Linked DNA regions of Xenopus tropicalis. The protein of the gene in region 1 purifies or fractionates together with the protein of each later gene. This does not show direct contact. Links are inferred from orthologs where the notes say so. Each region holds a gene or a part of one and is shown on either strand. Other genes may lie near its edges. The genes, in order: tjp1 and ocln.

Region 1 (3,831 bases):
CACTTTGAATATGAGAAAGAGTCACCATACGGGCTAAGTTTCAACAAAGGAGAGGTCTTTCGAGTTGTGGATACTCTTTACAATGGCAAACTAGGGTCATGGTTGGCCATTAGAATTGGTAGAAATCACAAGGAGGTGGAAAGAGGGATAATCCCCAACAAGAATAGGTAAGTGGTTACCAGTTTTACAGGTTTCTTTTGTATTTTTGTGTACTTTAACTGTATGGATAGTAGAGCTGTTTGGTTATGCTTGTGTGTTGGGTCAAAGTGGATTCTTTAAAGGGGACATACAGCATACATTTTCACAATGCAGTGAAACCATGTAAAATAGAAGAAGGAAGCGTGTTTGTTTTAATATTATGGGTCAAATACATCTGAATCAGCTTGATAACTGTGCTGGACCTGCCCCTTTTACAACTTTCCGGTCTCAGAGTCTTTGGTGTACATCTTATCATCACCTTCTGTCTCAGTAACTGAGCCACATCCATTAAGGGAGGACTGGGCATGCAGAGGTGGGCAGCGCTATAACACTCAATCCTTCGCTGTAGACCGCGCTCCCCCCTGCCTGCGTTACTCCCACAGATAGGACCTGCCAGCTCTGCTCATTTTCCCATCCCTTCCCTAACCTGCTCATTCTTCTCCCTCTCTGCCCTGCATGTTTCTCCCTCTCTGCCCTGCCCCACCTCCTTTACCATCCCCGCACTGCTAGTTCCTCACCCTCCCTGCCCTGATATGACTAAAAAAAAAAGTTCTATAAATGAAATGTAATTGTATATATTTCTTTTCTGGAGCAATGTATGTGTAGCAGGTCCATACAATAAATGAGCAGTTGCATGCTGTAATAATTTTTAGGTACTTTTGGAAGTACCTGTATCTGTTTAAAATAGCAGAGGCCTACCTGTGCCCTCCAGCTCCAAGGAGATGCTGTGTAAATGCAGATGAACAGGAGATAAAGGTGTTACAAGTGCCTTGGGTTAGTCATCATACAAAAGTAGATGTGTTGTTGGGCTGATTTTTTGCAGGGCTGAGCAACTGGCTAGTGTACAGTACACTCTTCCTAAAACTGCTGGTGGAGATCGTGCAGACTTCTGGAGATTCCGTGGCCTTCGTAGTTCCAAGCGAAATCTACGGAAAAGCAGAGAGGATCTTTCTGCGCAACCTGTTCAAACAAAGTTCCCTGCTTATGAGAGAGTCGTCTTGAGAGAAGGTTGGCTTTTTTTCATCTTAAGCCATAATTTGTTTTTATATTATTGTTCCACACATAATTATTTTGAGGCCCAGTCTTTTGAATTGATGACTTTTATTTTGTATGTATGTGATTTTATAGTGTAATAGCCATATTTATCTGTACGTTTCTATTCCATCCTTCTTTTATTTTCCCTCTGACCAGAAATTATTTCTTGCAGCTGGATTTCTCAGGCCTGTGGTTATTTTTGGCCCTATTGCTGACGTTGCAAGAGAAAAGTTGGCAAGAGAAGAACCAGATATTTATGAAGTAGCAAGTAAGTTAATTATTATGCTCATGGCTGTTTTACAGCTTCATGTTAATTGTTTATATTACTATAAATTTAATAAACCATATATTTTTTTAGTGGTTATTACTCAACCCATTATTCTTTTATTGCAAAGGCTTTCTAAATCCATTCCTTAGTTTCCAAGTTTATAAAAAATGAACACTAACACACCAGAGCAAAGTTAAAAGGTAGAATAATGGATGGAGGGAACTGGCTTTTTTAATGCCTCCTGTTTGTCACACACAGATGATTAATTTATAGATGTCTGAAACAATTACAGTTTAAGTAGTTTTTTATCTGTGCATCCATCCAGCTGCCTCTTGTTTACGCATACCAATTCACTGTTGGTGAAAAATTACATGTAGTAATGAGACCTGCTCCATATTTATTTAATGAATAGTCAGAACCTTCAGGCCTGATTTCTTATGTTAAACATAGATAATATAAACTCGTTTTATAGAAGTTGTTATTTAATTTAATGTTTTTCTTCAGGAAGTGAACCCAGAGATGCAGGTACTGACCAGCGAAGTTCTGGAATTATCCGCCTTCATACTATTAAACAGATTATTGATAGGGTGAGTGATGTACTGAAAAATTATATAAGATAATTTCATGCATGCAGATAATAATCTGTTTGGTGTCAGAATTTTGCACAGTACTGCATAACATATGATATTTAACTTAAACAACATAGCACAAAACTGGTATTGGCTTTTAACATCAGATAATAACATGGAAATTGTGGCCATATTAGATAAAGGCTTGTGGCAATAACTAAGGAGAAGATGACGCTCTCCTTAATAAATTTCAGCCCTTAGGTCCTTTTGTTGTTTGTCCTAGGCATAAGTCTGGGGAGTTTATCATGTCCAATTTATCATATTCTCTTTCTTAGTAGCAGGACTTTTAAATGTGTTCACATAATGGCCTCTGCATAAAACTGTTGCTGCACTGGATTTAGGAATGTACTGTCCCTATGTCACTATTCTTAGTCATGAACATAAAAGAATGGAATCCGTTTCTTTTTGAAAGGTTAGAGCCATAGCAGCTATAATTCACTTGCACAAAATGGTCTGTATTTCAAGTGACTGATTACAAGTAGTTCTACCATAAAAATCAAATTGGTGCATTTATTTCAGTGCAAGCAAAATCAGAGACTTGTTCTAAATTTCAGTTACTTATTTTTCATTTTCTACAGGATAAGCATGCTCTTCTAGATGTGACTCCAAATGCTGTGGACCGCTTAAATTATGCACAATGGTATCCGATAGTAGTGTTTCTTAACCCAGACTCTAAACAAGGTGTGAAAACAATGAGAATGAGGTTATGCCCAGAATCACGCAAAAGTGCCAGGAAACTATATGAACGTTCACACAAACTACGCAAAAACAATCACCATCTTTTCACAAGTAAGTTTAGAGGAAGTTCAGTTTAAACTAGAGTAGAAATAGTTGGATTGTCAGAATTATTTTTTTTGTATCAAATTATAACATACTGCATATTTAAAGAGAAAATGATATCACAGAAAATTATATTGGTGCATAGGCAGGCATCTCAGTGTATTGTGCCTGATTCTAAGCTTTTAGACAGAGCCACCACTACACAGCAGAAATGCTTTCGAATAAGCTATTGTTTCTCCTGCTTATTGTAATTGGAGTAGACTTGGCTGAGCGGACTTGGATTTTGACTATTGAGTGTTATTCTTATATCTACCATTTTTAGCAATACGGGTGTCAGGGCGCTGCTATATCTCTACCTTCCCATTGTTCTGCTGATCAGCTGCTTTTTTTATATTTTGTTAAATCTAGAAAAAAACTTTGCTCTTTTAAATAGATTTCAGTGCATAATTCTGCTAGAGCAGCACTATTTCTTATGCATTTGAATAGTTTTAAAGGCTCAGCCTTTACGTATTTGACTTATAAGGGTATGTACGCATTATTTTTTTCAAGGAAGGTTTGTGGTCTTTTGAATATCTAGCAAATCAACGCATATACTTTGTTGTAGCTGCAGGTATTACAGCTTGAATGCCTTAGCTACACAAAACACAACAGGATGTATTTATCTGTGTTAGACACAGAAACAAGCATTTGGGAACCTGTGGTCATGCAAGGGAACATAAATTGAAAATGATAAGATAAAGTTGCGCCAGATATGAAAAATTACACCAATTTTTAGTCTAGAGTGGCAGTCAAATACATGTATTCGGTAATTTGTTTGACTTATATGAATCTTGTTTTACAGCTACAATAAATCTCAACTCCATGAATGATGGCTGGTATGGTGGCCTTAAAGAGGCAGCACAGCAGCAACAGAACCAGCTA
Region 2 (3,042 bases), on another chromosome or scaffold:
AATCCAAACATAAGCAAGCTTTACAGATAGGGCTTCTAATACAAGAGAAAAATCACATGCAGTTCTCTATTTGCCCCCTTTTATGTACATTTTTTCTGCAAAGAAAGCATGGGTGCAGTGGCAGATAGCAAAATGCTTAGAGTTATGTTATTAAAACTACTTTATCCTCTTAATATACTCACTATAAAGCAAGAAAATTATTCACTGCTTTTGAAGCAACAAACTTGATATGTTCCTTTCAGGGAGTGTCTGATGGCCAGAATAGTCTGCCACAGAAGCTCTCCAATTATTGTAGCATAGTTATCAGTGAAATATTCCACATTATTCTAAATTGACCCATTGAGGGCTATCGTGAGCTTTTTTTTTTATAAAAAAAGTTATTGGACCTTAACAATCATTGTCTGATTACTCACTGTACCAATACATCTTCCTTGTACTGTTTTTTTTTTTGCTAAATTGATTTTTTTGCATGGAAGGGGCTTATTGGCTCTTAAACTTACCCAATGCCCTCTCAGGAATAGTTCATTGTTTACAATTGGTTACCTACAGGGCTGCAAATTTGCTTGCAGCTTTAACTCATCTTGTCCTGTATTGGATTAAGCAGGGAATTAACCCTGTTCCCTGGCTTTTGGTTGGTTTTCAGCCATGACAGCTAGAAAGCAGTGCTGTTCTTGAATAGCATCTTTAAGTAATAGTGAGCTACTCTCCCAGGCAATAGAGTACCAAGCACTGTCCACTACTAAGGTTTCCATCTGGCCTGTATTTCGCCAGATAGGGCTGGTATTACCTTGGCAATGCACTAACCAGTAAATCTGAAATTACTTTATCGTACCTCACCCTCCTGAACTGCTCTTCTACCCTACCCACCCTCTACCTAACTTTCCATCCTCACTCCCATCACATACAGATCCTCAATCAGCCCATTCCCTGCTTCCCCTCCCTGAAGGCTGGTAACATTTTCCTGGAAAAGCAGCAACTTAGATCTGCACAAAAGGCAGTAAAACAAAGCCAGAAGTGTTGGGAGTTTTGGTAAACAAGATATATTTTTTCTTTTTCTTAACGTCAGGAATTTAACAGCTTAGAAGTATACAGCTTGCATATAAAACCTCTTCCCCAAGGACTGAACAACTTACCGTTTTGACTTCCTTAAGCTGATTGTATTCATCTGCAATGCTCTGCAAAAAGACACAGCACAATAACAATTTATAACATCCTCATAACGACATTCAGTCTTAGCACACAAAGCACAAGGCAGAATAAGAAATTCAGGATAGGATCTATTTTCATTTTGCAAATTTCGTACAGATGAAGAGGATTGCAAACCCAAATACAAAAGCAAGGCCAAGGAGGCACACACTAAAGTGTTTGACCTGCCAATCAAAATCTGATTCCTACTCATGGATGAGGAAAGACAGATTTGCTTGAAAGGGCTTAGTGAACAATAACTATTTCAGAAACTATTTTTTTATTGATTGTATTTAGAATGCTTCTTATTTCCATGACGAAGCTCAAATTTTCATTTTCACAGTTCCCCATTAAACAAATGAAAGGTAAAGTAAAATAAGTAGCTTTTTATGTATGCTTTAAATTTATTCAGATGTACTTGAAGTTATTTGTATGTGTTATGAAAAAAAGTATTTTTGCTGCTCTCTGTATTGCTGTGTTGGACTACAAACCCAGTTCCTAGAAGTCGGCAAGATGGAGGAGAGAGAATACTGCTACATGTAGTCAGAACCAACAGTGGAGAGAACAGCAATGGATAGTCAGATAATGCTTTAAGTTGCATTTACATTTATTAGTAACTATGTAATAAAAAGTTGTTGGGCTTTCATTTGCTTTTATTATACATTTGATACTAGAGTTACACCCTCTTTAACCTTTCCTGCCTACTCGTGACTCCTGCCTCCTTAAAATAAATCATAAGTGTGTGCCAGCGCAAACCAAATTACTCCAGTGATAAACGACCAAAAGAATGAAAAACAGATTGTTTAGGGATCTAGATAAAAATGGAATAACCACGTACAATGCACAGGATGATACTAACCAAGCACCTTCACACACAATGCTACCTTTAAAAGTCTGATGCACTAAATAACTGACCTTATACGCTTCACTATTTTCCGGATGGTTGTCCAGTTCTTTATCCATCTGGGACAGGGATTTTGAAATCTCATCAAGTTCTGCTTGCAGCCCTTTGTATTCCTGCAGATCACTGGCAAACTCCTGCTTGTACTGCTGTCGTTGCTGGTCTGAAGTGATGGGTGGGTACTCACTATATAAAAGTGCAAGAAAGATAGTGCATTAGGTGATATAACCTGCCAATTCCAAAAAGACTAAAGGTCCCCATACACGGGCCGATTCTAGCTGCCGATATCAGTCACTTAGACCGATTCGGCAGCTAATCGACGGGCCTTCCCGACCGATATCTGTCCTGAAATTGGCCAGATATCGATCGGGCAGGTTAAAAAAATCTAGTTGGATCTGGGACCGCATGAGCTTGTTGATGCGGCCCCCGAACCAACTGCCCCATTGCCGCCAATATAATTCGATCGTTTGGCCCTGGGGCCTACACGTTCCCCTGATATCGTGTGAAGATCCGCTCGCTTGGCGATCTCGGCAAGCGAGCGAATCTTCACATGTATGGGGACCTTAATAGTAAAATGACTGGTCTAAAGTTGTTTGAATGATTTTTGGGCAGCTATCAGTTGGGTAGGCGAATGGGGGTCCCCATACATGGGCAGATAAGCTGCTGAATCGGCAGGGAAGGCGACGCCTTATACGATTTAATACTGGTGGGGCAGAGAGTCGGCATGCCTGGGGGAAAATAGGGTCTAGAATAAAGTCTATGAATAATGCATGAAGTGCTTCATACTATCTCACTAAGGCCTCACGGGGCCGATTCTCATCAGATAAACATGGATTTTGGGGTCAAAATTCACATGTGCTCTGAGTGCAGACACATGAGACTGCAGATGTGGGTGGAGGGGCAGATACTTGGCCCTTGGATAGCTCATGTGGCATTACCCTAACTGCAAAGGAAGC

The links.
Region 2: the proteins of tjp1 (region 1) and ocln purify together in Homo sapiens (affinity purification with western blotting; 4 studies listed by BioGRID and IntAct, with this or other methods). This does not show direct contact. The link is inferred for Xenopus tropicalis from reciprocal best matches to the Homo sapiens genes TJP1 and OCLN.

Annotation. Positions count from the first base shown.
Region 1 is NC_030679.2:97,712,672-97,716,502, reverse strand, and holds part of tjp1 (tight junction protein ZO-1), read left to right. Parts: coding exon 1-167; intron 168-1,021; coding exon 1,022-1,206; intron 1,207-1,405; coding exon 1,406-1,501; intron 1,502-2,005; coding exon 2,006-2,088; intron 2,089-2,708; coding exon 2,709-2,919; intron 2,920-3,751; coding exon 3,752-3,831. UniProt on the Homo sapiens protein: TJP1, TJP2, and TJP3 are closely related scaffolding proteins that link tight junction (TJ) transmembrane proteins such as claudins, junctional adhesion molecules, and occludin to the actin cytoskeleton.
Region 2 is NC_030677.2:182,434,380-182,437,421, reverse strand, and holds part of ocln (occludin), read right to left. Parts: intron 2,273-3,042; coding exon 2,101-2,272; intron 1,176-2,100; coding exon 1,134-1,175; intron 1-1,133. UniProt on the Homo sapiens protein: May play a role in the formation and regulation of the tight junction (TJ) paracellular permeability barrier.